Linked DNA regions of Lonchura striata. The protein of the gene in region 3 interacts with the protein of the main gene of each other region in a pairwise test. Links are inferred from orthologs where the notes say so. Each region holds a gene or a part of one and is shown on either strand. Other genes may lie near its edges.

Region 1 (8,145 bases), on a different chromosome or scaffold from region 3:
AGACCTAAAATTAACAGTGATTTCATCTTCATATTCTGCAAGTTTTTCAAATATATCTTTGAAAGTGCTTAGACCTAATTTCAAGACATTCTATAGCACTTAAAGATTTGTTGAAATAAAGAAAAATCAGAAAAAAATGAAGGATTCTAACACTGAAGAGTTCTTCAAGGAGTTTCTCTTTAAGGCATTAAGCATATTAAAGACTTTCATTTGAGTAGCTGTAATTGAATTTTACCTCTTATTCACATTTTCCAGAATTGCCCTACATGTTGTAACAGACACGTTGTCTCTTCCTCCACCCTCGTTAAGGAAATTACAAAGTACTTAAGCTGGAATATTTCAATGTACAGATCATTCTTTAAAACAAATCCAGATACTACTAAAATCCAAAACATACATGATGTGTAAGTTATACTTTTGTTATCAGCTTTTTAATACTGACAATAAAGAAAGAGATTGAACTGCCAGCCTCTATTTGACAACCACAATATCTAAAATAAACATGAAAAATTCATAAAGACCTGAAAAACGTGTTACTCTGCTCTGAAAAGTCCAGCTCCTAAAAGAGATGATGAGGATGCAAACACAGACCTTGAACAAACTGTTAAATTTCACTGACTGCCTGACTTGGTGTGAATTTGCTTGTTCAGCACAGGATTTGAGCCTCCTGTTTATAAACACTCTGAACTCAATTCAGTCAACAATTCAGCAAACATCCACACTGAAAGGTAACACTGCTTCTTGGGCGTGCCCCTCATTTCACCTATAGTGTGATAGAAAGATGAAATCCTGATATAAATGTGATATTTCATTTGCCATTAGTCAGGTCCACTTTCTAAAGATCCAGAAGAGCTATAAATTGGTTTCCAAGGGGAACCACACGTTCTATTTCACCTGTTAGCAAAGGCAGAAGGGCTGGCTGAACCAGTCCAGTTTGATCTGGGCCAACCAGGGAAGAACAGAAAGTCAGTTTGACTGTCTGAGGCAAGGTGTCAAAAGGCATGTGAACAAATAAACAAAACCATCTCTATGTGTTATGTAAATAATCAACATCATCAATCATTTACTAATGACACAAGATCAGACCACAGAGGCAACAACTCCAGATGAAAAAGTAGAGGGAGAACAGTTAAGACAAAGCAATATTAGTTGCTATGGTTAAACCTGTACTTTCTACTTTAAATGACATAGGATCCAAGTTAACAATCACAATAGCTCTTAAAGGCCTGGAAAAAAAAACAGGGGCTGCTGTTATTTACCTTGAGAAGGGTTTACTTTTCTTGCTGTTGCCCAGAATGGTTGTCCCTGCTGGTCCCAGTTTGGCACTTTCCCGTAACCAGTTGGCAGGAGGCAGCTTCAGGTCTGTTTTCTCCTGCAGACGGGCAAAGGCTGCTTGAGGAGGGGCTGAGGAGTATTTCACCACAGCACAGCTCTTCACCTCATTGCCTCCGAGGAACAGCACCGAGCCCTGATTTCCAGAGAGAAATTAGCCTTCTACTTAAGTGTTGGCAATTAAAACTATCAGGCTTGTTCTGTAATAAGTTATTTTTAAGGCTAAGTGAGCAAAATCCAGTCCTATATTCACTTACCTTTCCCCAGCACATACAGTTTTCCAGTTATTCCAATTCATGTCAAGCATAAGCTTCACTTTAGGAATTATCACAGAATCACTTAGGTTGGAAAAGACCTCCAAGATTATCAAGTCCAATCTGTGATGAACCACCGCACTGTCACCCAGACCAGAGCACTGATCAACACATCCAGTCTTTCCTTGGACACCTCCAGGGATGGGGACTCCACCACTGCCCCAGACAGCCCGTTCCAACGCTTGACAACCATTTATTTCCATGAAAGAATTCTTCCTGCCCACCCTGCCCCTGTCCCAGCCTGGGGCCGTTCCCTCTGCTCCTGTCCCTGTTCCTGGAGCAGAGCCCGACCCCCCGGCTGTCCCCTCCTGGCAGGAACTGTGCAGAGCCACAAGGTCCCCCTGATCCCCCTTTGTTCCAGGCTGAGCCCCCTCAGATCCCTCAGGAGTTCCCAGCCCCTTCCCAAATCCCTCAGGAGTTCCCAGCCCCTTCCCAAATCCCTCAGGAGTTCCCAGCCCCTTCCCAGCTCCCTCAGGAGTTTCCCAGCCCCTTCCCAGCTCCCTCAGGAGTTCCCAGCCCCCTCCCAGATCCCTCAGGACCTCTCCAGCCCCTTCCCAGCTCCCTCAGGAGTTCCCAGCCCCTTCCCAAATCCCTCAGGAGTTCCCCAGCCCCTTCCCAGCTCCCTCAGGAGTTCCCAGCCCCTTCCCAAATCCCTCAGGAGTTCCCCAGCCCCTTCCCAGCTCCCTCAGGAGTTCCCAGCCCCTTCCCAAATCCCTCAGGAGTTCCCAGCCCCTTCCCAGCTCCATTCCCTGCGCACACTCCAGCCCCTCATTGTCTTTCCTGACCTAACAGCGCCAGAATCAATCCCAGAATTTGAGGCTGGACCTCGGCAGTGCCCAGCACAGGGGGACACCCCTTGCCCTGGTCCTGTGCCACACTGTGGCTGATCCAAGCAGGTGACAGTGGCCTCCCTGCCCACCTGGGCACTCTGAGAATGAAGTGTCACCAACGTCAGCTGCCACACCACACAAAATAACTCAGAAAGGCTAAAACAAACACATCTCCCACTAAAGTTTGTGAAAGTAGGTGTATATTAACACTAATATTAAAGCTAAACAGGCTTCTACCTTACTATTATTAAATAATAATAAATTAAACAAGCTTCGTGTTTGCCTACTTCTTTTCAAACACGCAGCTGTCACCCGTGTGCGAGGAGCTTTGAACTAACACAAGTCAAGGGAAAAACAGCTCCACAGGACACCACTTACGTAAATACGCTGCACTTAGGCATAACAACAGCAACACTGCTCGCAATTAACGCTTAATCATAATTAGCGTGTTCCCTACAGCACTCCGGCCCTGACAAACTGGAAAGAGGACCAAAAACACCGCTTCAATTAAAACACCCCCAGGGGCCGTGTCTGTAGCCGCCGCTCGACCCCCTCACAGCCCCTCTACCTCACCCAGCACGGCCGCCCCTCAGCGCCGCCCACCTGCTTGGGCTCCTCGGCGTCTCCCCTCAGCGGGGCAGGGGTGCCCGCGCCGCAGGGCTCCTCCATGGTCCGGGAATGGGGCGGGAATGGGGCGGGAATGGTCCGGGAAGGGGCAGCGGGAGCGGAGCCGCTGCCCGGGGGGTCCGGCCGGGAGCCGCCGCCTCTCGCGAGACTTTTCGAGAAGGCGCGGGAAGGGCGGGCTCTGAGGGCGGCGCCGTGAGGGGCGGGCGGTGCCGCCGTGAGGGGCGGGCTCTGAGGGCGGCGCCGTGAGGGGCGGGCTCTGAGGGCGGCGCCGTGAGGGGCGGGCGGTGCCGCCGTGAGGGGCGGGCGGGAGGCGGCGCCGTGAGGGGCGGGCGGTGCCGCCGTGAGGGGCGGGCGGGAGGCGGCGTTCCCAGCGGGCTCGGAAGGTGGTTGATGTGGGAAAAACCTCGTCAATTACATCAAAGCGAGGAGTGTCAGGTCCAGTCGTTCCTTAAGCACCTCCAGGAATGGGGCTCCACTACCGCCCTTCCAATTCTTGGCCACCCTTTCCATGAATAAATTTTCGCTAATTTCCAATCTAGACCTCCCCTGGCGCAGTTCGAGGCCCTTCACAGGTGAGCCAGAAAGTCCCCCCCGAGCCTCCTTTTCTCCAGGCTTGACTTTCCTGGATAACTGGGACCTTAATGAAACAAGTGAAAACTTGGTGGTGGGGTATCTCAGCATGGGAGAGGATTGAAAATTGCAGTACACTGTACACTGAGTTCAACAAAAAGCTGAGCTGTGATGGCTTCAGTAAGTAAGTAATTCCTAAATAGTGCACATGGCATTTTTAATACCTATTATTTTCCTTGTAGATGGCATTCTTCATTCTCTAAACCACGAGAGGCAGTATGCTTCATGACTGGTCAGGGAGTACAAATGCTGACTTCCTCTTAAGTTATATCTGTATCTATAGCCACATGTGCCTTAATATATATATATATATACATATATATATATATATATATATATATATATATATATATATATATATACAGACATATATATACACACACACACACACACACACACATATATATATATATATATATATATATATATGTATATATACGGATATAGATCATGGAATTACAGCATGGTTTGGGCTGGAAGGGCAGGGACACCTTTCCCTGTCCCAGGCTGCTCCAAGCACTGTCCAGCCTGGCCTTGGACACCTCCAGGCATCCAGGGGCAGCCACAGTGTTAAAAATAGGTTAGAAACTATTGTAAAATGGTTGATATTTGTTAAGCATGTACTATTAGTTTGGTTATGGTAAAAGGGGTTAAAAGGGTAGTTATAAGAAATATGGTACTCAACGTACCATAATACACCTAAATAAAGTGCACCACCCCAGCCTGGACAGAACTGTGATGGGCCAATCAAGTGGCTTAAACCTTCATGCAAATTAAGGATCCAAAAAGAAACCAATCCAAAGGGACAAAAAACAGGATAAAAAGGGTATCTGCTCCACTGAATTTGTGCTGCTCCACCTGAAACGTCGGGGACATCGCTGCTGAGCAGACCAGTGCTGGCACCGCAGCATCCTCGACGGGATCGCTCCTGCTCAGCCCGTGGACCCCCTTGCTTCAGGCCTTTCTTTTTATTATAATAAATGCTGAAATCGCTTTCAGTACCGGGAGTGTGCTCCCGTTTTTAACAACAGCTTCTCTGGGCACCCTGTGCCAGGGCCCCACCACCCTCTCAGGGAACAATTCCTGCCTAATATCCAATCTAAACCTAGTCTCTGTTAGTTTGAAGTCAAAAAGGACACAAGTGTCATCTTTACAGTCTGTCAAGGCCAAGGAGGCAATGTCTTGGTTTGTGCTACACTGGCCAAGTGTGCTGCAGTTAAATAGTTGGGATGTTTCCAAGCCACCGCTAAAACTCAAAAGCAAAAAAAAATTCCTTAACACGCAGCCAGGTTTTCTGTAGATATTGGGTGTGTGTTCAATTAAGATGTGTGTATGTGGAAAGTCATTTTCAAAAGAGCAGGAAGTTGCATCTTAAAATTCTATCTCTAACGTCCTTCGGGTTTTCCTCAAAACCAGCTCTCCTTCCCCCACCCATTCCTATTCAGGCTGTGAAGTGTCACTGAAGTGATTGTGCAGAATTGATTTGTTTTCAACATTCAATCCTCTGACGAGCTGTTATTTCCCTCTTCCTTGCAGCACACGAGCGGGAGCGGCGCTGCCCGGCGTTTTTGGTTGTGTGGATCTCAGTGAAACACCGGGGCGGCTCTGAGGTCACAGGGGAGGGTTCCACACCCTGCCCGCTCCATGAGCAGGTCTCCAGGGAACCGCGGTGGCGCCGGGAGAGTGACCGGGAGCGGCAGTGACATCGAGCCATGGCCGAGGACAAGATTCAGCACAGCGCAGGGCACAGTAGCGACTGGGTAAGGGCCAAGCAGGTGCCCCCGTGTCCTCCGCAGGGCTTCTTGATCCTTAAATTCTCAAAAAAGCACCATGCTAAGGGTGACTTTGTCCTTTACTCAGAAATAAGTCTTCCTGTTCCTGAGGTTTAAAAGGAAAGAGTGTCCTCTGTCTTTAGTGTGCAAAAGTTCTGGCTTGTTAAGTAACCCTGGCTGGATTTCCACACCGCACCCCCCACCCACCCACCCCGTTTTCCAGCAATTCTGTGGGTCTCTTATTTGATAGTTAGTCCTGGTTGTTTTTCCTTCTCTTCTGGAGAACTGGTCAAGGCTTGCCTCAGTTCTTGCCTCCAGGAGAACACTGATCCCATCAGAAACGCTGGGCTGGGACATCTTGGCATCCCAGGGCACTGTAACACTCCTGGCACAGTCTGTTCCTCACTCTGAACCCTTTTGCCTGATACTGGGTTGAGCTGTTCCCAAAAATTTTGTGCTTTCAAACTTGCACTACAGTAGGAGTAGCATGGGGGATTGGAAGGTCGTTGTTTTCCTCGGTGGTTATTGCTGTGTAAACACTTTTCAGAAAGTTCCTGGATAGTCTTGTCTTAAAGAGTCCTAAAATTCTTGTCTGGTTATTTTATCTACGTTTGAAGGTCTTTATGGTAAGGTTTGCGTTGTGGGTGTGCGAGGCTCCTCATTTGTCCAGACGCCGCTAGGTGCTGCTGCAATCCAAGTAATAAAAAGTGAATGGGACAGTATCATTTTGACCACATTTCTGGTCAGATTTATTTGTTATTTAGGTTTTGTTGTTTGTTGTTTTTGTTTGGTTTTTTTTTTTTTTTTAGTTGGCTTTTATTTTAAAGGGCCATAATCCTCATTATTTTCTAGTTCTCTCACGATGTACTGGAGGTGGGCGAGCTGGAATCAACAACAAGCGCTTCACTAAAGCATGTCCTGAATTCCGTAGCCGCTGTGGGCCAGGAACACAGAATGCCGCTGGAATACAAAGCTCGGGTGCAGGTGAGTTCCTGCGGCAGCACAGCCGATTTTCGGAGCTCTTTTGCAAGTTGTCACTCGCCAAGTTGTGAGTAAGAACAGCACTCAGGGTCGTAAGCGGAGCAGTCACAGCGGGCTGGCAGACTTTGTGCCTCAGGGGATGGAGTGATTGCTGCCTGTGCTGTGGAAGAAACATATTTCCCTGTTACTCACTCATAATTTTAGTTGCTCAGAGTCCTGCTGTATTACTGCTGATTTTCTCTTATTATTGAGACACCGAATACATTATGATCAATCTCAGCCCACAGCCTGTGTGTAAAGCCCTGTAAGAAGGTTTAATGGAAATTTGATCAGCTGTTTGGCAATGGATGTTGGAAATTCATTATATTCACACAAAGGAGTGTTCTTTTTATAATTAAAAAGTTAGACGCTTCTGATTTCAAACATTTTTAAGGCTTCATTAAAAATGAGATTTGTGAAAAATTTTGGGATGAAAGGAATTACAGTATTTTAAAAAATACTGTATTTAAAACATTACAGTGTTGTAAGCACCTTTTCATGTCCTTATTTTATCATCACACTGAGCTTTGCTTTACCCACCTGCTTTAGGAACAGAACATTTTTTATTTTCATTTTCTATAAGCACAGCAATTGCAGTGGGTTCATGTCACTGGTTTTGCCATAGTGAAGGGCAGAAATTAAGGGCTTGGAAGGAATATTTAAATGGGAATCTTGGGGCTACGAAAAGGAGATTATTCTGTAACAGGAGTATACACTGTGTTAATATTACATCTACCTTCCTGTGGAACATCTGGCCTTAGCCACTGCCTGAAAAGGAGAACCAGGGTAAAGGGACCTTTTATTAACACCAGTGTGACTTCATCTGAAGTTGCATGTCTTATCTTTACCAGCCCTCCACTTTTATATAGAGTTAGGGAAATTCTTGCCTGTTGTAAATTGAGAATTAATCTGAGATCAATGGTGAGAACACAAAGATCCACTAAAGGCTAAAATGGCACAGTCTGAGGAAGTTTGTTTAGGCACTGGTAATAAACACTATTCCTGAAATGTTGACATTGACATTTAGTTTCAGTAGGATATTTTAGGAAGAAATTTACAGACTCAGGAGGTGCTTATTTTTAAATACATGTGTGAGAATGTATTTATTGAATTGACTTATTCCCTGAACTACAGTCTGGATGAATCAGTATGAGACAAGAGAACTGGTGAATATACCTAAAAAAAGGAAGAGAATCTGCCTACTAAACCAAATAACCTGAGATCTGACCGTGCAGCTGACCCTGTGCAGGCACATTTTGTGTCTGGTGAATCTTGCTGGATCAGGCCTCCAGTCACATTGATCCTTAGAACTCACTCAGGTTCCCCTACTCTTGACACACCTCTTTTACACTGTGTTACATTAAAACTTGCTGTTTTGCTTATCACGGTTGGGATATTGCACTGATATATAACAAACATTTAAAGAGTCAGATATGTTATTTTTTTTCTAAAATAGCTCTTTTCGAGTTGTCTTTTGTTTCTTCTGAAACTCTAGTTTCATTTAGAGACTGAATGAACATCATGTTAAAGAATGAGATTATAAATTAGTTAAGCAATTAATACCTCTTCAACTTCCCCTGCAACAAGCAGTGTCCATGACATTCAGTTCATAAATCACAG
Region 2 (7,701 bases), on a different chromosome or scaffold from region 3:
CAACAAGAAGCAGGTGTGTTATAAGGGAGACCAGAACCTGCATGCAGAGGGCTTTTCAGATACTGCTGTGGTTCATTCCACCAGCTGATGGATGGTCCATGTGCAGGGATGAGAGCTGGGGAAAAAACTACCACCTCCAAACTCAGCACTGCCCAGCTGTTCCTGGTTCCCTGCAAAGGACAGAACTCTGCAGCCAGGGAACCACTGGGAGCTACTCTGAAGCAAAAAGCATTTTGTAGTCTCTCTGGGCAGCCAGGTGTTCTGTGCATCATTCCCCAAGGATGTGCAGTACTAAAAGCTCTCACAGTTGAATCTGTAGATTATTTAGATGTTAATTAACAGACAACAATAAGATTGGTAAGGGGGAGGAGCTGGAAAGAGGTAGAATTGTTTCATTTTGTAATTGCACTTTTCCCCTGATAAGACTTTTGTCAAGCACACAGAACAATGTGGTTCAACTGGTACCTGACCTCAGCAGGCTACTAGAAACAGTCTGTGAGTGCTTCAGTTATGGTCACCTGTCAGATAACAGCACACTGAAGGTAACAACAGCTCTGCTATCAATTAATTCACCAAAGCACTGAATTCCCATAGGTCTGTTGTCCACAGCACTCCATGAGGTCTGCTACAATTAAATTCCACTGTGGTTCTCTGGCTTTCACACACCAAGGACATTCAGGTCTTCCTCAACCACATCAACATCTCAGCCCTCTTTAAGATGATGCTCTGCAGCCACTGTGCTCTGCTTATTTATTCATTTTTGCAGGCTTGGCTTTACAAAGCCCTGCTGAGCCTGATTCCTGAGGAGTTTCAGAGCCTGCTGCAGCCTTCACACCTGTCTGACAACATCACTTGTTGCTGGCCAGTTCCTTACTCATCCCTCAGCTCTTCCAGAGTCATCCTCCCTTGCTTCCCCCTCTTGGATTTCACCAAAGCAGCCAATCAGCACAAGACAGGAAATTTGGCTCAGCTGATCTCTGCTCACCCAGCAGCCTCTGGGAGCTGCTGTCCAGGATCACTTTGCATTTCCTTACTACTCCCACCTCCAGTTACTCTTTCCCTGAGAGCACACGAGGCCTGCAGGCTCTGGGGCTCAGACTGCAGCCCTGCAGAGCCCTTTCCAGGCTGTTCTTGAAGAAATGCATTTGCTGTGTTCCCTAATCACATCAAACACCTTAGCCCAGCCTGAGGCCTAGGAGGTTCTTCTAAAGGCTTCACAGGCCTTCACTTCTCCTTCCTCCAGGAGAGCTTCATTTTTCTTTTTAAATCAAAGCTACCTAACACACTACCTTCACTTTCTGACTTTCCTCACCAGCTCTCCAGTCACATCCACGTTGTCCTGGTTATCATTCTGCTGGTTTCACATCCTGCTTCATTAAGTTACTCCATTTTGCTTCCTGCATTTATACATGCACACTTCAATTCTCCCTAACCACACCCCAGCAGCAGAGCTGAACTAATCACTGCCTACCCGTCCTCATCAGCTCGAGCACCTTCTGCCATGTCCCTCCCCACAGCCACCCCTTATCCACTTGTATTTCCTCACTTATCCTACTCTTCTCTTCCTACAGAACACTCCAACCTGTTGCATGTCTGTTCCCAGCAGGAGAACCAAGGTCCAGAGGTAAATTTGGGACAGAATATAGAAAACCAGAAGAGTTTTCTGTCATTCCAATAAATCAGAACACTCTGGAGTCACCACCTAGGAAAACACAAGTCACAGACGTTTTAGGTAAATATTAACTAAGAGCTACCTCCTGTTTCAGGAAGATTCAGCAAAATGAGAATCAATCTTAATCAGGTTTCATTAGATGCCCAGAAGTGAGCAGGTAATTTTAAAGTATTATTTACATTTTACATCCCAGTAACTCCAGTAGAACAGGTTTGTTTCCAAACTGCTGTCCTTCATAAGAACTCCTCATTTTTTTGTTACTCATAAAATGGAAAAGAGAACTTCTTCCTTGCACTCAGACTTACGACATTTTTAAATCCCTACAGGAAGCTAGCAAATTCCTTTATAAACCACATTAAATTGTGACATTTAGTAATTAAGCTGCCCAAGGTATTTTCTTCCCATCAGCAAGTACTGCCCAAGCACAAGGGCTCTGCAGTCCAAACCAGGACAGGAATCAATCCCAGGCAATACACTCCACAGGATAACACCTGTAAAAGATGTGACTTGGGATTTAGGACACAGCCACCCTGAGGAATCCTGTTCACTAAGGGGCTCTGTCACCTCTGAAAAACATCCCAACACAGATCCACCCTGTTTTAAAGCAAAAGCCACAGCGAGTAACCTCCAGAGGCACTCCAGTGCAGACACCCACCTTTCTCTGGCTTTACTGCCACGATAATTCAGCACAACTCCAATTCAAGACAAAGCTACCAACAGATGTTGTGGATACTTCGTGTGCTGCAAACAGGCAATAAACAATTGGAAAGGAAATAATTTCGCTCTCTTTAGCCTCAATAAGCTTTGACAAAAAAAAAAAAAAAAAACAGTCTAGAATACTTTCGCTGCTTTCTCAAATAGGAAGTGGCTTTTCCCTCAACCCTCAAAGTTATTTTTCTGTCAAAGTTCATGACGGCACAGGTCAATAGAACAATTAAAAGCAGAGATAACGCTGCACATCGGCCACATACACGGCACAATACACACATACACACCCTCCGTGCAACTGCAACAGCTCGTAAGGGGGAGATACAGAACACACATATAAAAATATCGCCGGTGTTGCTGGCGGCGGTGCCGAGGAGCGCTGGGAGGCGGCGGTGCCACAGAGCCAAGCGGCCTAGTCCTGCCCGCAGCCTCCCCCCGCTCAGCCCGGCCGCCCCTTCCCCTCGCTGCCGGCCCCGGGCCCGCCGGGCCGCGCCTCGGGGCGGCCCCGGGACGGAGCGCGGCCGACCGGGACCCGCCCCGGCCCGCGGAGCCGCGGCGCGGGGCCTGGCGCTGCAGCGGCCCGGCCGGGCGGGCCGTGCCGGCGCGCCGTACCTGTGCTCGGGGCTCAGGGAGCGGTGCAGCGCGGCCGTGCGGGCGGTGCCCGGTGCCCCCGCGGGCTGTGTGGCTCGGCTCGCTCCGGGCTCGCTGCGCTGCCTCAGACGCGGCTCCGCTGCGCCCCCATCACCCCCGCAGCCAAGATGGCGGCGCCCCTCGCACGGGGTTTCCCCTCCCACTCTCGACGGGCGCCGGGGCCGCACAAAGAGTGGGCGCGAGGGCGCCGCGGCGCAGCCAATCACGGCGGCCGCTGCGCGGCGGGGCGGGAGCGCGCGCGGGGCGGGGCCGCGCGGGGCGGGGCGGGCGCGCGCGCCCTCAGGCGGCGGCGGCGGCGCCTCAGGGCGGAGCGGGGCCGCCGGCGCCGCGGAAAATCCCGGATTTCCGCGCTGTTCTCCGGGAAAACGGCACGGAAGCCAACAGCGACCCGCCCGGAACCCCCAGCTCGCGGGGCAATGGTGAGAATGCACGGCCCGGCGCGGCGCAGGTACGGGGATGTCGCGCCCTGAGGGGCTCCGGAGGTCCCCGTCTGTCTCCAGGAGCAGCGCCCGGTGCTTGGCAACGTCCCGTGAAATGCTCGAAGGTGTTCATTTGGCCTTTGAATAATTTAAATCAGCTTTTTAAACACTCGTGGCATGCGAACCTCAAGACCTAAAAGCGCAACGTACTGCCCAAATCTCACAGTTCACGGGATTTAAAAAATAAATCAGCGGTTCGGGAGGTGTAAAAGTATATCAATAAATTTCCCCAATAAGGATTTTGTTTCAATTCCAAACATTACAGCAAATATCAGATTCTGCTGTGGGTCACTGTCCAAGATTTAAATTTCAGCTTCCCCACTGCCATAACATTTCTATGGAACTATTTTCACATGGGCATTTTCCATCTCCATTACTGTGACATTACTAATTCCATTTCCTTAGTTGAGCAACAGCCAGGGAATCCTCTGCTTTCCATGAATCAGCCACCCCCTAATTATTACTCAACCTCTGCCAGGGAGAAACTGCATGGTAGATAACACTCCCTGTTATCTGGGCAGAAACTTCATAGAGTAAAAAGCACTGAAGAAAAACAATTAGAATTCTTTTCCCCTTTATCTACATGCTAAACAAATCTCTGAGTGATAAAAAGCAAAGATTCAACAGAAAAATACAAAATCTGCTGGCAATGTAGTAAAGATGTAGGACTCCTGTCACTTATTGTCAGGGTTCTAACTTCAAAACTGTGCAACAGAACCCTTTTCAAGTTTTGCAGAACCTTATATGGAGTGACTTTTGCTAGAAAAATAGGTCAAAACGAGCCAGTGAGAATGATTTCCACGAGAGGGAGTCTTTAAACGGAAAATGACCTGACTGTTGTGACACAATTGCAGTCTGGTTTACTGACTTGAGAAAAGCACACTTCCCTGGTACTGTCCCAGATATTATTCTGTTAACACAGGCACTGCAATGAGAGGTTTTCTAATTCAGAATCGTTCAGATATCACACACCAAAATACATTGAGGATTTCTCTATCTATGGCTCAGTGTTGGTAGCGTCAGGCAGGCAGGGTGAGTTTGCGTGTTTTTACAAGAGGGAATCATACAGGTAATTATTGCTGTCATCCATGGGAAGGGCAGTGGGGGCACAGCCTGCCCGGGGTGGGAGTGGCTGGTTGGAGCTGCAGCTTCTTTTCCAGGGGGAATTGCAGCCAGCCCTCTCCCCCAGGCAGGCACAGGCTCCTCGGGTTTGCGCCTCTCCAGTCACAGGGTGGCACTTCCCCCTGCAGAGCCCACGGAGACACCTCAGGATTACTCAACAACTCGGAAAATCCCTTTAATCTGGAGCCTGGTTTATTTAATTGTGAACAGAAATGAGAAGCGGTTTGGGGATAGAATTATTTTGTTTCTTACCTGCAACAAAATGAAAAGCCATTATCTAAATGTGAGCAAGATTTAGCTTTTAAACGGAAATTCCCAAATATATTTTATCTAAAACTGCCTTCCTTTCTGAGGTGATGTAAAAGGCAATACAGATTTGCTTCAAAGCTCCTGCTTTTATATGCTCTGCTCAAATATTCCTACAAAGTTTAAAGTTAACAGAAGACATGAGCGAGGAGGATGGAGTAACAGCATCTGCATTTCTTTGGTTCTTTATTCTTGTGAGTGCTTGAAAGCCTGCAGCAGTTTTTCAACAACAGTTATTGAGAAAAGGCTGACTTCAGCCCATTCATTGTGAACATCTGGACAGAACCTAACAACAGTAATTAAAACCCACTAAATTGGTAACAATACCAAATTGCCAGGGATGGAATCCTCCTCTGTGGTCCCACCCTTCCCTGTGGATTTCTGCTGGGTCAGTCCACTCTTGAAAAGCCTTTTCCACGTGTCTCTTTCTGTCAAGAGGGAGCAGCATCCAAATTTTCTGGTCACATGAGCCTTGCTCTTGGGTTTATTTCTGTACCACAAACTCCAGGAAAAGTAAAGACTGAGTTAATGCAGTTGGTAGAAGGCTTGAGGATTTTCTTCTTTGCAAATAAACTACACAGAGTGATCTGTAGGATCAGCTTCCTTCTTTAGAATGCATCCTTGTAAGAAAATAAACCTAAATATAATTAAATTACACATCAGCTTTCATTAAGAGTGTGGGATTGAATGGAATTTTTGTCTGCAACACTCTTTTCCCTAAGGACAGCAGTAAGCAGGCCAGACTGTCAGAATTTAAACTGTCAGGCCACAAACAGGCAATAAAAAGTCAGGTTTCTCTGTCTGTCATCTTCCCCCGAACCCCAGCTTCATCTTCTGGCTTTGCTCAAGTTTCTCTAGACAGAGAGAGGGGAGAAACACAAGATTTTTCAGGAACTAGTTTGAAATGCACGTCTGTGGGAGTCGATCACGTAACGCTGGATTGGTCACAGATGACTAACTGGTCTTTACTTGTATTTTATTTTTGAGTTGCCCAGTTCTCCTTTCATCTCTTACCATTTCAGTTTTGTGGTGTCTGTAGAAATATTCCTGTGGTCAAGGTTTTTTTTTTAGTTCCTTCTTTATCTTTTTTAGTTCCTTCATCTCATGTAAAACAGGCAGTCCAAGCCCATTGGCACTTGTACAGCCTCAAAGCTTCAAATTAAATTGATTAATAATAGAAGAACATTTGGGCCAATGGTAATTCTGGTGTCAGTAGATGCAGCTCAGCTGGATTCTCTCTGTCAATATTTTGTGGGAATGGCAGTATGGAATTGAAGTGTACCCCTTTCCACAGGAACTTCAACATTAATATTGAGGAATACTTCCAAATACATACAGCAGCGAGCTCCCTTGATGGGTCAGTGCTCACCATGACTCCTTCTATCCTGACTGAAGCTAAATCTGAGCTTTACTGACTTCATTTGGCTTATTTTGGAGTTCACCTTTCAACTCTGATCCCTTGAGCGTAATCCTCAAGCATTCATACTTCGATGGGTCCTTAGCAAGTAGCTTATATTTTAGCACAAAACCAAACTGTAGCAATAGAAATGCCTGCAAAATACCAGCATCTGCTTTTCAAAGGCATGCAAGTGCTGTGGTTTCCTGGCTGACAGGACAACATGCCCAGAGACCAGATCCTGGCAGTGGTGAAAGGCTTTGTGAGTCAATCATCTTGCACAAGGCAGGAATTGATCCACACAGAGCTGCTTCTGGACAGAAAGCAACCTCTGGAGCTGACAGCAACAACCTGGAGGGGTTTGTGCCCCACCTCAAGGTGTCTCCTTGCTGAAGGACTTTGCAGTGCCACAGCACAAGGCTCCCTAAAAACTTTTCTGTCCTTCTCATCAATCACAGTGATTTCTGACACCAAGAGACTCTTGGTTCTGCTCTGTGTGGTTCCAGATCTCACTCTCTGCACTGAGAGGTTACTTCTTGGAAAGAAACTCCCTCTAATGCTTCAGCATGCCAAGGTCACTTTTCTATCCTCAACAGCACAAGGGTAGCTGCATTTCCAGCTGAATAGTGGAAACAGGGACCTAAAATTTCCATGGAAACATTGCAATTTAACAGCACTTAAAGTAATTGAACACAGTGTTTTCAAAGGGCTAAGTCATTTTGCATTAATCATATTTGAGGGACAGGTGAAGAATTTTTGGTTTAGCTATGTAATGATGTTACAAATGCATGATAGGATGTGAACATGATGCAGAACATCAAGTAGATGAGTTACTGTGTGATTGTGCAGTGTCAGTGCCTCTGTAAAGGATGTTCCCGATTTAATGAAAGGTTTGGTTATGCACAGCTCTCCCAGACTTCAGAATCAAATTGGCAGATGGTTCTTAGCCCACCTAAAATGTTCTGGTTAATAATGTTCTCATACACAAAAGCGTAACAAAAAACTTCTTCAGTTATAGGCATGACAGAGGAGAAATACCCACCACTGGCTTTGTGAATAACCATGTCTTTGTTCCACACAATTCCAGCAGCAACTGGGGGCATTGTTGGTGGCATAGAAACCATTTTTGTGAGAACCCACTGCAGGGTGGCACTGTCTCGGTACAGTGCTCCTCTCAAGAGCACAAGACAGTTCTCCGATTACATGATGGAGAGAGTGAAAGAAAACAACAGCTGGCTGTGGCCTGCCTGCCTGGCTTAGATTTACCACTACTCACTGGTAGTGTTGAGGAAAAACTCCATAAAAAAGGCAAGGAGTTAGAAATTTCTATTGTTTCTGAGTGCGGTTGGAGATGTCTGACTCGCTCT
Region 3 (7,619 bases):
AGACTGACTCAAGTAACTACTTTGTGCTCAGCCTCCTTGGCTACACTTTAAAAATAACTGGCTGATACCACATAAAAACAATTTCCCTACAAGTCACTCATCTCTTTAACCAAGTCCTTCCTGATACACAACGTGAAATTTCCTTTACAAGAATCCTCTTCATCAAAAGCCACAATGCCACGTTTCATGCCAAGTGTAAATTCCCTCCTTATGCCATCTTGAGATCTAAAAGTTTGGAACACTTTTGTAATTTAATTACAGGTGAAATGAGTCATTCAGTGCAGTAACATTCCATTCAGGGGAGGCTTCCAGCTTCCCAATTACCTCAGGGCTCTTTGCAGGACTTCTCCTTTATATGAAAATCCCCAATTTTTCCTCTGAAGATCCTGTAATTTAGCTGAGGTACCACTCTGGTTACAAGGATGCTAAAGCCAAGTATGGAAGAACCCTGAATAAAGGGTTTACTAACACTCTGTGTGTGCAGATAACATTTTCTACATTTCTCCCTTTCCCAGATGTTCATACTAAAAGATAATTCACCAACACACATATAATGGCTTTAAATATTTTTTCATTTTTGTAAAACAACACTCATAAAGTTTTTCTGCAAGCCTCTTCCCCTAAGGAAATCTGATGTAGATGCCTCAGAACCCAAAACAATATTATAATGCCAATCTTTCTCCACCCCATCATGCCTCTATATACCTCTAAATATTCCTTGAGTTCATGTGTACACAAACCTGTACCTCCTTTCCTGGAAAATACCTGATTTTTCAAGAATACTTACACAGGAGACCTGTCCTTCAGTTTTTAAATCATATAAATAGTGTTTTATATTATTTAAGAAATATTAACTGCAGTGGCTATTATGTGCAGGATCAACAGAGAAATAAAATGAGCTTCCCTTTTCAATTTTCTACAGAGGGTGTGCTAGAAATAATCTACTCGATTTATATAGAATAAATGAAGTTCAACAGTATCTTTCTAAGACATGATTTTCCAGGTTCCACTGCAGATCCAAAACTTCTTACTTTAGTTTGTATCTTCCATACACGTTTGCTTTTTTAAATGCTATCTTGATAACAGGGTTCCTCATAGCTGACAGCCTAACTCCTATTTTAAGTCCCCTATCCTGGTCTGCAGAAATTGCTGAAAATCAGCTATTACAAATGTCATTTGCAAGTCCTTTGCCTGTTATCAGATGAGCCCCAACAGTCAATTTCTCCAGCTTTGAACTTCCCTCTGGCTCCAGAGGAATTAATGTGATCCCATCCATTCAGCCAATACTCCTGATTTAATAAGAGATATGCCTGAAGTGGGTCATAACCTGGTTTGATCTGGTGTTTACAAATGAAGCTACACTGGACACAGCCAGTTTAAAAACCAGTTTAGAAGCATCCACTGTTAAATTATGCTTTAAGTTATGTGAGGGAGAATTCAGTCCATGTTATGCCCATTTTCAACACAGATCCTGCTGCACAAGTTCCCATATCTGTACTGAAATATACTTAAAACACACACTCATGAAAATATGGTAATCAAATTCCATCCTCAGCAGACAGCTAAGGGCTACTCCCATAACAAGCAGATTTTTATGTTTTTATATAAGGCAAAAATTTCAAACTAACCAAGTAGGCAACATTAAATTAGCGGACATCAACAAAAACTCTCTTGCCTTTGGAGTGAAAGTGAACTGAAAGTGGGAGAGACAGAAATACTGGATTCCATGTTGGAAAGGCATAATTTCTAGCCCCAATCTCCAGGCAAAAGTCTCACCTAATTTGCAATTTTATCTTTATTGCTATTGCAAAATGGAAAAAGCTGTTGCACGACCCAAATCAGCCAAAACACAGTTTTCTTTCCATATTCAAATCACCTCACACTCAACACCCCACAAAGAATAGAATGGCACTGTCATCATGTTGAGAAATCAAGGGGCTCCTAGAGTGGTGTAGGGAGGGTACAAAACCTGGCATCCAGCCACAGGAACACAGTATTTTAGTCCTGCTATTTTTTAAAGCTATGCAAACCAAAAGATGTGAGTCATAACACTCGTGTGCCATCACAATGATTCACAAACTCAAATGCACACAGTGCATTTACATGAACCCCAGAGATGGGTTCTTCCAGAGAAAATGGAAGACCCTTTCCTGAAGGCTGGGCAATGTGAGTCCCAATAATAACCCACCAGAAAAACAAACAGTTCTTGAGTGACTTGGAGAGCAAATACAGGACACCTGGGGATGACACCATGACACAGGGGTGAAGAGGAAGTGGGGACACCACACTTTCTGTTTAACACAGGCCACATCACAAGAGTTCATGGTCCAGGCCAGAAGCTGAAGCCACAGAATCACAGAAGGGTTTGGGTTGGAAGAGACCTCAAAGATCATCTTGTTCCAACCCCCTGCCATGGGCAGGGACACCTTCCACTATCCAAACCCCATCCAACCTGGCCCTGAGCACTGCCAGGGACAGGGCAGCCACAGCTTCTCTGTGCCAGGGCCTCAACACCCTCACAGTCGAGAGTGGTAGTATTCTAATATCCAGCCTTTCAGCTTGAAGCCATTCCCCCTGTCCTGTCACTACACATTTCTGTAAGAATTCCCCCTCCATCCCTTTGGCAGGCTCCCTTCAGGAGGGAGACGATCCTCGTGCATCCCTTCCAACTTAGGGCATTCCGCAATCCCACGGGAAGAATCTGACAGACTCCTGCTATTCCCGTCCTGCTCCTGCGTGGCCTTGGCCGAGCTATTCCCCTTCCTCGCCTCGAGTAAAGGGAGGGCAAACTCTTTATTCCTTTATTCCGCTCCATCCCCGCCGTTCCCACCGCGCCGGGGCCGGGCAAGGCAGCGCGGGGCCGGGCCCGGCGTGGCCGTGCGGCAGCGAGGCGCTGCAGCGGGGCCGGGAGGGCACCGCGCCCCGCGGGGCGGCACCGCGGCTCCCCAGCCCCGCGCACCGCCCGCCCTGCCCCGCCGACAGCCCGCCGCGTCCCCTCGGCGAGCCGGCCCCCCGCCCGCGGGGCCCGCACCCACCTCGAAGAGCTCGGCCGTGGTGGCCATGGCCGCAGGGAGGGAGGGAGGGAAAGGGAAAGAGAGGGAAGGAGGGCGGCGGCCCCTCAGCGCCCCGTGGCCGCCGCCGCCCCGCCGCTGCCGCCCATTGTGTCCCCCCGCCCCGGCAGCAGCAGCGGCGGCCGCGGCGCCGCCTCCGCCCGCCGGAAATGGCGCCGCGCCGGGCGGCCACGGCGCGGCCGCGGCTCCTCCCCGGCCGCCATCGGCACCGCCGGCATCGCTGCCACCATCGCCGCCACCATCGCTGCCACCATCGCCGCCACCGGCACCGCCACCGGCATGGCCCTGCGGGCGCTGTGGCTCCTCAGGCGCGGCCGGCGGCGCCGTGCTCTTCTCCAGGTAGCGACGGTACCGCGGGCACGGCGAGCTGGGCAGTCCGAGGGTCGGGCTGGGGAGTCCCGGTGATCTGGAAGGGATCCAGGTGCTCTGAGGGATCCGAGTGCCCTGGAGGGAAGGGTGTTCTTGAGGGGAGCGGATGCTCTGGGGGGTCCGGGTGCTCTGGAGGGAGGCGGGCGCTCTGGGGAGAGCAGATGCCCTCAGGGGGCGCGGATGTTCCTGAGGGGGGTCTGGGAGTCTGGAAGCTCTGAAGAAAATCCTGATATCCTGGGGGGATCGGGTGTTCTGGGGGTCTGGAAGCCCTGAAGAAAATCCTGATATCTTGGGGGGATCGGGTGTTCTGGGGATCTGGAAGCTCTGAAGAAAATCCTGATATCCTGGGGGGATCGGGTGTTCTGGGGGTCTGGAAGCCCTGAAGAAAATCCTGATATCCTGGGGGGATCGGGTGCTCTGGGGGTCTGGAAGCCCTGAAGAAAATCCTGATGTCCCGGGGGGATCGGGTGCTCTGGGGGTCTGGATGTTCTGAAGGAAATCCCGGTGCCCTGCGGGTTTAGGGTGCTCTGGATGCCCTGAAGGAAATCCTGGTGTCCTGCGGGGATCAGATGCTCTGGGGGTCTGGATGTCTTGAAGGAAATCTTGGTGCCCGGGGGGATTGGGTGCTCTGGGGGTCTGGATGCCCTGAAGGAAATCCTGGTGTCCTGGGGGGATCGGGTGCTCTGGATGTCTGCAGAAAATCCTGGTTCCCTGGAGGGATTGAGTGTTCTGGGGGTCTGGAGGAAATCCTGGTGCCCTGGGGGGATTGGGTGCTCTGGGGGTCTGGATGCCCTGAAGGAAATCCTGGTGTCCTGCGGGGATCAGATGCTCTGGGGGTCTGGATGCCCTGAAGGAAATCCTGGTGTCCTGGGGGGATCGGGTGCTCTGGGGCTCTGCAGAAAATTCTGGTGTCCTGGGGGGATTGGGTGCTCTGGGGGTCTGGGTGTCCTGGGGGGACACTGCTGCCCTGTGGGTCTAGGATGCTGCCCCCAAAACGGATGCAAAAACCACCAAAACCATCTGATACTGAATAAATTCCTCGTCTCGTGCCAGCGCCGCTGGATGCTGTGCATTTCTGACTCCAATTTTAGAAAGTTCAGAATCAGAGTCACATAATGTGCTTTTAACTAAATATGGGAGCTTTTTCACAGCTTCTGCATTTTGCATGAGTTTCCTTGCTCCGTTCCTCTTTCTTTTTTGTCACTGTAAACATTTTGCCCAGCTCTTCTCCTTCCTAACATGGTAAAGGACAAGGCAGTGATTGTGAAATACTGTCAGATTAACAAAAATGGGCAAAACAGATATATAAGCATATATTATTGCTTGTATTTTCCTTATATTTTTTTCATGTTGCTCTGTAGCTGTAGGTAAAATAGAGTACTTTCAGACAGAAATTCAGCTTTCTGTTTGATGCTAATTTGTGCATATAAACACTTTTTTAAAAAGTTATTGGGGGATTTTTAAGTTATTGAATACTAAAGAGTTCTCCAAAGGAACAGTTTTTATACAGAATTCTTGCAGATATAAAGGAAGACTTTTGGCTTAGCGGGTTACTGTTATTGGGCTGGCAAGATTTGTTACCCTTTTTGTTACTCTTCTTCTGTGACTTCAGAGAAAGCCAGATAATGAGAAGAAAAATAACTGGGGCTAGGGAAAGTTTGTGGGGAAAAAAAAAAAAAAGTCCTGGATAAAGTGACCTACAGTCCTAGTCTGAATTTAGTAAAAGCAAAGAGAGAACTTAGGAGTAAAAATAAAAAAAACAACTATCTTCCATCTTCAGGTGCAGACAGATCTCTCCATTGGACACTCCTCTGATTGTTTTAGGATTAGTATTATGGTCCTTGTATTACCTACAGGACTAGAGATGAGGCCTCCCCTCTACAAACACAGATAAAGAGAAAGCCTTGTCCCCAAAACCTCGGAGAGTGTAATCACCACGGAGCAGGGGGGGCTGCTGACAGGGGTGTCTGAAGTGACTTGTCACACAGTGAGCGGCAGAGACAAGGAGTAGCACTCCTTTGAAAAGGGCAAACTATCCTCGATGCTTCAAGTGATTTCCAGACTTAGATCTTTCAAGTTCCCAGAGGAAATAATAGGGCTGTGGAAGCCCCAAGTTTATCCTCCTAACTGACCTTAAATTCAACAAAGCACGCAGACAATATAAAGAATGCCCGGATCACATGGAAACTGTTGGTTTCAGGACTTAGGCACTCAGCTGGAGATACGTGAGCCCTGATCTTTGACCTCAGGGAAGACATCGGGGACATCAAAGCATTCCCCCTCTTTTTTTTTTTTTTTTTAGCTGATCATAACTTAATTCAGGCAACAAGGATGGTCTCCCTCTTGAGTCACCGAAGTTCATTCATCCTTGGAAACTTTTGTCTTTTTTATTTTTTTAAGTTTGCATCACTTTCTAGAAGGGAATACTGAAAAACGGGGATTTGAAGGGCTAACTAATGATCTAATGACTTCAGTGGGAGGAGGAGGCTGCTGTGGTGTGGGGACAGCTTCAGCAAATGCAGCAGAGAGACTGGGACTTGACTAAGACAAAACCAGACTGAAATATCTCCTCTTCCCTTGTTTTGGAAACGTTGGCCAAAAAGAAGAGCTGCTCACCAAGGTTGCACATAACCTCTTATCAACACCCTGGCTCTGCAAAGCCTCATAAATTTTATAGCTGTAAACCCACTTGGTTTCTTTGCTCTTCACAATAAAATGTGGGACCACAGGGAGGTGTTTTGCTGTCATCTGTATCCTGTTTACGAATTTTGTCGCTGTGGCTTTGCCCTGTCTATGTTTAGACAAAAATAAAAAAAACAACCCCAAAAGCCCTTGATGCCTGATTAGGAATGAAAGAAAAAAAAATCACAGTCACGGTAAATAAGCCTGAGGAAGTGTAGTTGCCTCCAGCTACTCAGTTAAGAGAAAATGATGTAGAGCACTTAGAGGCAAGAGGATAAGATCCATGGAAGTGCTCAGGAGCAGGAGGGAAGTGCTGCAGATGGAGGTCATAGATAAAACAAAGTCCCACGTTGCTGGGATTGCAAGTTCCATGGCAGTTTGGAAAGCAGGCTGTCAATGTGTCCTAAAAAAGACGGTATAAAAGGGACAGCAAATGAGAGCCTTTATATATCTGTGCAGTTTTTTTCTTCCATGTTGGCATGCAAGCCTGGGTCTGAGTGCAAACAAACATCTGAGAACATCTGCTTCAAGATGATCCATAAAGTGATTTAATTTTGTGTGTGTGACCTGTGAGGGGCACTTTGAGGGTCTGTGGATAACTACTGAGGGAATCCACAAAACAGAATGTAGGAAAGCCAGGCTGTCAGCAAACTTCATGTAAGAGACACTCAGGGGAGTCTGCAGTTCCAAACCAGGGCACAACCAGTGCAGTCATGGAAGTAATATTTTTTTATTTTCTCAGCTATTTATTAAAAGTCAACTCCTTAGTTCCTCCTTAGGCTACCTTGAAAAGAAATTCATCCCACTCCCCTTTAAACAACAATACTGCAGGACATAAAAATCCCAGATATAGTTTTAAACAGTTAATATGATATTCCTCAAATATTATCTCTAGAAAATTTGAAATTAAATATATGTATTGGTACAACATAGCAATTCTAAGTTGTACAAAACCTCTGTCCATGACATTATTGTTACATCTTAAATACTTGATAAAATGAAATTATGAAAAAGTCATAAAAGCTTTAAGTCACATATATTGTATGTGCAGTGTGGAGTTATTATTGTTATAGCAGCAAAGCTGTAGCACTATCTACATATAGTAGACTCTATATCTAGGCAAAAAGCTGTTGTAGTTGCATTTTGTTACATAGAACATAAATTTTCTTAAATATCTGAGAACTTGTCTTCAGTGTGATGTCACCTCTTAGAAATATTTTGAAGTTCTGCACTGGTGGGAGTCATACAAAAATCCTGTACCCTTGTGTGACAGCATAGATGGACATATTCACACTTAGTTTAAAAAGTAGGTATTTACTCATGAGAATGTATTTACTTGCTGGAAAGAATCCTAACTACTCATGGAATGGTTTTATTGACCGTGATTCATGTTCCGATCCCACCACTGCTTCTATCAGGTTGCTGCAGGCTTCCACGTACACGAGCTTATTTGTAGGCCCGGTGGGTTTTGAGGAGTTGTTTGAACAATGAAGAGAA
Region 4 (7,923 bases), on a different chromosome or scaffold from region 3:
AACAATTATTTTCAAATGGATGGAAAGACTGTACAGTCTCTGCCAATGACAGAGATTGGTAAATTTATGTGACCAGATTGGGATTTGTAGATGCTGGTGGAAAAAACACATGGAATGAAGAAGTGAAGAGATTTGACTTGAATCTTACACATTGCATTTATTCAATGCTTGTACAACTTCCATCCTTCTACCATTTTAAATCCAAAGGTTGCTTTGCATTTATTTATTACGGGTAAGCAACTTTCTGTCAGGCTGTCTTTACCATAAAAACATGTATATTTTGCATTGGGAAGCAAGCTAAAACATGCATGTTTTGTTATATGGCAATTATCTACAGAAAGGCCATTACATTTCAGAAAACTTGAGTTAAAAGAGTTTTCCTATGAATAAGAGATCTGTTTCAAATGTTAAATGTCAAACTTCTAAAAGAAAGACCCTTTTCTCCCCAAAGCAGCAGGAAAACCTTCTTTCTAAACCCAGTCTCAAAATTCATGGAGTTGTCTTGTATTCTTGTTTGGTTTGGTTTTGGCCCTTTGTACGGGAAATAAATTGAACACATAAGAATTGAATAGATATTGAATTGAACACAAATAATTGAACAGAGAAGAAAGCTAAGAACAGAAGATACACAACTGTTGTAATAGATTTACAGGAGTGAAAATATGAATTGTAAGCAAAAGTTAGTGTCAAGGCTGAGAAGCTGCAGAACTTTGTTTGAAAACAGGGAAGAGACAAGAATCTCAATAATGGACAGAACAAGTTTTGAAAAGTGAGTGAACAGAAAACCTTCAGAGAAGACAGAATTTGACATGGATGAAGAAACTAAAGGAGGTAAAAAAGCCCAGGAGACATGAAATTAACAGCAGTGGCCAATGGAAAGGCTCTTTATTCCCTATGGATTGAGAAAACTAATGAAAAAAATAACCCCCTCTTTCAACAGAAAGAGAAGTTAAAGCCTCACAGCAAAGTTAAAATAAAATAAAAGACAGACAGCAAAATGACATTGTGAAGAAAAACACCAACACAAGCACCAACCAGTTTCCTGAGCCTATATGTGTGGGATAAAAAGCTTGAGGTTACATAATTAGAATGGGTCATAATTCAGGTGACAAGAAAAATCTAATTAATTATTTAAGGATTTACAAGCTACAGGGATTCCAGGAGGGGAATACAGTGACCCCTAGTCTCAGTCACCAGGAGGAAACTGACCTAATACTTCTCCTATCCTCCATGGCCATTGTGACAGCTGGTCAGCAACAAACCACTCTTTGTTAGGACAGTGAGCATATTAAATCTAGAGAGTTTATCAAGCGCTGGAGATCCATAATTTAATCACATGGTACTGCTAACTTTGATCTGTCAATGGGACTGCTACATTGGTGGACAGGATACTGCAAAATTAGCTACTCTCTACTGTTACGGTCAGAGATTGAAGAGCTATTAGTTAAACCTTATGCTATAACTTAGATTTTATTCTTCTGTGTTCTCTAGAACTTGACACTCTCCAGCCTTCTAGCTTTGAAATTTTTGTAGCCTATGTGTGCATAAGAACAAACACGGAAACTCCAAAAGGTAATAAACCAAACAAGAATTAAACAAATAACAGGACCAGCCCACAGCTACAAAGCTTCAAGGGCTTGTTTTCTCAGATACCAAAATAATATGAAAGTATCAACAGCTCCAGTGGGCTTACTATCCCTATTCTACATCACAAGAACAATGCAAAAAATACTTCAATGTTCTGATTTAAGATACCAATCATCTGTTTGGCTTACCTAGCATTACAGCATGAAAGGAGGAGCACCAATGAAATGCTGTCATATCTGGTTTTCTACCAACTCTTTCTCAGAGACCACCATAAGCATAGCCAAAGTGATTCCAGTTCTAGATCACAGGAGTACAGAGCAGGAAGAATTTGTTTAAACTCAAATCTAGGTGGACAAAGCACACCCCTCTGGTTTCTATATGTAACTTCTACATGTTTCTAGAACAGATGGACAAAAGAAGCAGGGTTTGGGTATCTTAATGTTGGCACTTGAAGGGCTTTTTGCCCTTTAGTTCTGTGCATTTGCTGTACACTGAAGCAATGACCATTAGGACACAACATCAAACACTGATGACTAAAGTATTGAAAATAAAATTACACAGTAGAAACAATCAGGTCACTTGGCCTACTCCTGATGGACATCCCAGCCTCCAAAACAATTTCCAGAATGGTTGTGTCCAATTTTGCTTTGATTACTCAATTATCCTCCACTCAATTCTGATCCTACTCTCGCAGACTATGAATGTGAACCTACCACATGGCTTTAGAGTATGTTCATATGTACAACAGCATCTTTATACTGGAAAATATTATAAAACAGTATGGTATGGATACGGTAGAAAAGAAATATAGTCAAAGCAGAGATTCAAGTAAAATTATAAAGAAAATAAATTAATACTATTCAGTTGCTTCTCATCTCCTCCACCTAGCCAGCAATACCAGCTCTGCTCGCCTCTTTGACTCCTCACTTCTCTTTGATGCTTCCCGGCGACACTGGACACACCCAGTCAGTGCCTGCACTCCGACTTACTCCATCAGATGTTTTCCTAACAGTGGAAGTCAGACACCCATGCCAGCACAGGGACATACGAACATACCGACTGGTTTTTCCCCCCTCAACTCACTCCCAGAGTTAACTGTTTCTGACGCCTGCACGTCTACGACAACAGGACCGAAACCTTAACCTGACCCGCAGAAGCACCCGCCGTCCCCAAGTGAAGGAGGGGGCAGCTTCTCCCGGCGAGTTTCCTGCTGGACGCCCGGAGCAGCGAGCGGCGCCCGAGCCGCTCCCTGCTCACCCCGAGGGACGGCTCGGAGCGCTGCTGCCGGCCCGGCCGGGACCCCGGGCGGGGCAGGCGCTGCGGGCTGAGGGCAGCGGCGGGCAGGGGGCCCGGCCCGAGCCCGGGGAGCCCTCACGTCACACCGGCTCCGTCCCCGCTCCTCAGGAGGCGCTGCCCGGCCCCGGGCCCGCTCCCCCGGAGGGGAGGAGGGAGAGGGGGTCCCTCACCCCGCTCCCGGATCCTACCGTAGGTCTCGGACATGGCACTCTGCGACATCCCGGGAGGGGTGACCCCCGCCGCCGCTGGCTCGCTGCCCGCCCCGGCCGGGCTCGGCGCTGACGGCGGAGGGAACCCAACAGGCCCCGCCGCCCGGGCCCGGCTCGGCTCAGCCCCGCCCCGCCCCGCGCCGCCGCGCAGGCGCGCCCGGGCCCCGCGCGCGCCCCGCCTCTCCCCCGCGCGCGCGGGGCGGCTCGCGGCCGCGGCCCCGCCCCCCGCGGGCCCCGCCCCCAAACAAGGCGCACGTGCCCGGCCGCCCCCGCCCGCTGCCCTCGCGGGGCCGGCGGCCGCTGCGGCGCGCCCCCCGCGCGGGCAGGCCGGACCCGTGCGCGGCACCGCGCACAGCGGGGCACAGCGGGGCACAGCGGGGCACACCGGGGCACAGCGGGGCACAGCGGGGCACAGCGGGGCACACCGGGGCACAGCGGGGCACACCGGAGCACAGCGGGGCACACAGCGGGGCACACAGCGGGGCACAGCGGGGCACAGCGGGGCACACAGCGGGGCACAGCGGGGCACAGCGGGGCACACACCGGGGCACACCGGGGCACAGCGGGGCACACAGCGGGGCACACACCGGGGCACAGCGGGGCACACCGGGGCACACCGGGGCACACAGCGGGCCACACAGCGGGGCACACCGGGGCACAGCGGGGCACAGCGGGGCACAGCGGGGCACACCGCGGGGCACAGCGGGGCACAGCGGGGCACACAGCGGGGCACACACCGGGGCACACACCGGGGCACAGCGGGGCACACACCGGGGCACACAGTGGGGCACACACCGGGGCGCAGCGGGGCACAGCGAGGCACACACCGGGGCACACACCGGGGCACACACCGGGGCGCAGCGGGACACAGCGGGGCACAGCGGGGCGCACACCGGGGCACACCGGGGCACACCCCGGGGCACACACCGAGGCACAGCGGGGCACAGCGGGGCACACAGCGGGGCACACACCGGGGCGCAGCGGGGCACAGCGGGGCACAGCGGGGCACACCCCGGAGCACACCGCCCGTTGTTCCAGCTCCTGCCAGGCAGGGCAGCCGGGCGGTGGCCCACGAAAGGCTGGCTCCCCGCTCACAGAAACGTTTTGCTGTTTTTACATTTTAACAAACAAAGGCGTCAGCATTCCTTGGTTACAATTTACATCACTTTTCTTTGAATTAGTTCTCAACCCCTATTATCTCGTTCCACTCCTTTCTCACGGTAAGTAGCCCGCAGGCTCAGTTCTGCTCTGCTGCCGAGGCTGGGGTCGGTTGTGAGGAGGTGGTCAGGGAGTCGGCGGTCGTGGTCTCCCGGTGCCGGAATTACCTTTCCCCCAGGTCCTGCTCAGTCCTGCCGACTGCACTCCTGCCGGCTGTCGTCTAGACAGCCCATTCATCCTGGCATTGCTTTCCCTTTTCCTCATTACAAAAGAGTAGCCGAGCATACAATGTTCACGGTGCCATTGCTTAATCGTAACTGTGCAGCTATAGCTACTGATAACAACAAAAAAAGTTGCAAAGTTTAGTTCAAATCTTCAGGGGCTCGATACCAGCAGTGCCTGGCCTGTATTACTCTTTTCTGCATGTCTTAACTCCCCGGGTTAGTCTGGCAGCAAAGAGCACCTCAGCTCCCACCACAACAGCCTTTCTATCTATGTGATTCCTAAATTATATTTCCTGTCTGTCCTCCACGTTTTCCTTTCTTCCAGTCCTTAAAAAATTTCCTCTACTCTTATTTCTTCTTCTGTTATTTTTGTGGTTTTGCTCACAGTTTCCCATCCTTTCCACTTCTCCTTCATCTCCTAAGCTGTAGGAAAAACTGCCTCTGCCTGTTCCAGCCACCTCCTTGCCAAGTCCTTAGCTGGTCAGAAGTCAGCTTTTAAGTTCCCATCTCTAATCAGTGGAACAACATGAGCTGAGCCAGCACCAAGAGCCCCTCAGAGAATCTGCTGATTATTCTTCTTGTTGTGGGTACAAACAGACAAAGAAACTCACCACAGTTTTCAAAGAACCAGCTCCTTAATGAATTCATACTATTAACAGTAATTGGAGGTTGTATAAACAGGTCCCCAAAGTCAGCACAGCCCTGATGTACAGAGGATATTGAGGCCTAAGATGTCACATGTGAATGTTTCTCTGGGCATCTGCTCTCCAAAATGCCATGGAAAGCTGAAGAGCCTTCACATGAGCTGAACAGACCCCAGTATGTCACAGATGTGAGCTTTGTGTCTGAAAGCTGTCCCCCAAAATGGTACATTCTGAGGCTCAGATTGGGATTTAAAGAAGTTTGGTCTAACATCAGCAAATTCCTGATAGATGCTGGTTATTTTTGCTCAACCCCCCTCCCTGTCCCCACCCTCAGAAAAACAAACCAACCAACCAAACAAACAAACAAAAAAAACCCCCAAAAACACAAAACCCAAATGGAATGTCTTAACCAAAGGAAATCCCCAAACATGCTGAAGTAAACAGATTTTACTAGATTACTAAAAATGTCATGTTACATCCATGTTATATGAGAGAACAAGGAGATTTAGACCTCATGCACTGTATAAACTTTAGGTTAAGGGATAAATTAGTCATGTTTTTTTATTTTGTGTATCTTGCAAGGTGACTTTGTTTTATGGAGTTTTTTTGATGTGTAATTGTGTTAATACCACAATCCTTTGCTTCCAATCACTCCTGAGAATTTTATATGCACCCATCAATAAAACACATCAAAATCGTAAAGGTTTCCATAAAAGCTATTAGTTTAGCTGCCGCGCTCCCGCCCCGGTTCCCTTTTCCTCCGCCCCGGCTAGCTCTCAGTCTGGGGCGAGAGTGGGAGATTGAGGCACCCTCCGCCGCTCCCAGCTGGGGTTTGGAGAGTGCCTTTGTGGGTCCCGGGCAGCGCTAGCAAGCCTCGCGGTGGTAAATGAAGAGCGGATCCTGCTGGAGGCTAAGTCCGAGTTTATTGTAGCCCAACGGGGCCAAATATCCTAGAATGGTGCCAGCCAACAGGAACAAGCACAAGGTGCTTGCACTGGCTTATAAACTGTAAGGGAGGGGTATCCAACGACCAATGGGGATAGGGATAGGGGGTGGCTCCGGGATGGGGGGATATGATGGGGTCCAATGGGGGAAGGATATGGGGGGAGCCCCAGGTCCTCACCCAATCACCCGGTGCCCAAGGTGGAAGCTTCTGGATGGATGGGAAGGGACACCGAGTGACAGACAAGGCACCAGGGAGGGGTAAAATGCCTCTTTCAGGGTGATGGATAGATACTGGAAAGGCGGGAAGGGAGGACAAGACGGGAAAACTGGGGATAAACCAAGTTGCACGCGGGGGTACAAAGGAATAAACCAATACATAATACAGGGATAATAAAACATACAAATAACGCAACTCCACATTTAATATTAAAGAGGAAAGTGAAGGCTGGGAGAATGTTAAAGCAAACACAGGAGAACATGAGAGATGAATAGGATTTGGTATTTTAGAAATTTTGCCTTGAAGACTAAATTAGAACAAATAGTAAAATTCAGAAATAATAAAGACTGCACTAGGCTAGAAAATATATAGCTGATACCTCAGTAACTTGAGAATGTCAGGCCTGTATATTAATAAAATCATTCTTCCTGAGTAATAAACAATGAGTAGGTAGAATTGGCCTTGTCAGTGTCTATCTTAAGTATAAAGGTGAAAAAAACCCCAATGCCAAATGTTTAATTCACATGATTTCTGTTGATCACATCTGCTAGAAAATTTTGGTTTATGCAAAAAGAGATGTGTTATGTCAAATTGGATGTGTACATCATGCACTATCTCAAATTTTTTCACCACAGTTACTGTGCCTTTAACTGGTTACAGTTGTAAAATTGCTGCTTAGGAGGTCATATTAAGTTTCCCCTGAAAGTTCTAATCTCATTTTTTACTAGTTTCTACTGACCAGTGTACCATAATAGGAATGGAAGAGGACCCACAAGATCTCATGGGAGCCAGACTCAGGATGTGTGAGGTCTCTGCCAAAATAAAATAATATGACTCGGGGATTTACAGATTTCGACACAGCTTTTAATGACCTAGCACTGCAAGGGGGCAGATCCGTTTGTTTTCTTTTGCTTTTCCTTTCCTTTTTTTTTAATGCAAGGTAACAAAGTTCAGTTTGTAACTGAAGCATGGCTGTGTTTTTGATTCACCGTCACCGTAGGCTGTTGGTCTCAGATTCAGTCAAAGAGAGAAACAGAGAGTTTCTAACCAGGCAGAAGCCTGGGCATCTATTGGAAAAGAATGTAAATAAGATTCTTTATCTCTCTTGTTGTTCACATTGTTTATAGTTAAATTCTACCACTGTGCATCATGCACTCTGCACCAATGGTGTGCGTTGTTTTCACTTCAGGACCAATGGAATTGGTCTGGATGAAGCTCTCTATAAAGAGCGATGCATTTTGAAATAAATCAGAGTTTTACTCTCGCCTTCTGAGCGGAGTCATCTCATTCCCGTCCTGCCTCAACAGCGTCATAGGCGGCAGTCCGGGACTGGAGAGCAGCTGCGGATGGGATGGGCTTTTCCTCGAGGGAGCGGCAGGGATGCCTCGCTCTGGTCTGAAGGTGGCACCACAAGGCTGTGTGGAAGGCACTGCAGCGGCCGGACGCTGCTGTTGTCTCTGTTAGTTGCGGCTGTGTGGCTCGCAGTCCAACCTGGCATGCTCAGGTAAAACGGGGATGATGTATTCTGCTGCTCTTCACTGTTGCTTGCATGCCGAATATGGAAAGCAACCCAGCATATGTAAGAGCCGCTTGATCTGAAGCAGCAATGAATGCGACTCCAGCAACCCAAATGAAATCTGAAG

Evidence for each region.
Region 1: the proteins of EXOC5 (region 3) and EDRF1 interact in binary tests that used the Homo sapiens proteins (3 or more experiments, as listed by UniProt). The two-hybrid records come from large-scale screens. The link is inferred for Lonchura striata from reciprocal best matches to the Homo sapiens genes EXOC5 and EDRF1.
Region 2: the proteins of EXOC5 (region 3) and RAB14 interact in binary tests that used the Homo sapiens proteins (3 or more experiments, as listed by UniProt). The two-hybrid records come from large-scale screens. The link is inferred for Lonchura striata from reciprocal best matches to the Homo sapiens genes EXOC5 and RAB14.
Region 4: the proteins of EXOC5 (region 3) and RAB4A interact in binary tests that used the Homo sapiens proteins (3 or more experiments, as listed by UniProt). The two-hybrid records come from large-scale screens. The link is inferred for Lonchura striata from reciprocal best matches to the Homo sapiens genes EXOC5 and RAB4A.

Annotation. Positions count from the first base shown.
Region 1 is NC_134609.1:29,692,510-29,700,654, reverse strand, and holds the start of EDRF1 (erythroid differentiation-related factor 1), read right to left. Parts: upstream 3,241-8,145; 5' UTR 3,146-3,240; coding exon 3,080-3,145; intron 1,469-3,079; coding exon 1,260-1,468; intron 1-1,259. Other genes in the region: TEX36 (testis-expressed protein 36), read left to right, coding at 5,446-5,493, 6,358-6,489. UniProt on the Homo sapiens protein: Transcription factor involved in erythroid differentiation. Involved in transcriptional activation of the globin gene.
Region 2 is NC_134624.1:9,483,306-9,491,006, forward strand, and holds the start of RAB14 (ras-related protein Rab-14), read right to left. Parts: upstream 3,182-7,701; 5' UTR 2,993-3,181; intron 1-2,992.
Region 3 is NC_134608.1:4,354,757-4,362,375, forward strand, and holds the start of EXOC5 (exocyst complex component 5), read right to left. Parts: upstream 3,187-7,619; 5' UTR 3,063-3,186; coding exon 3,036-3,062; intron 1-3,035. UniProt on the Homo sapiens protein: Component of the exocyst complex involved in the docking of exocytic vesicles with fusion sites on the plasma membrane.
Region 4 is NC_134605.1:43,369,573-43,377,495, forward strand, and holds the start of RAB4A (ras-related protein Rab-4A), read right to left. Parts: upstream 3,218-7,923; 5' UTR 3,103-3,217; coding exon 3,072-3,102; intron 1-3,071. UniProt on the Homo sapiens protein: The small GTPases Rab are key regulators of intracellular membrane trafficking, from the formation of transport vesicles to their fusion with membranes.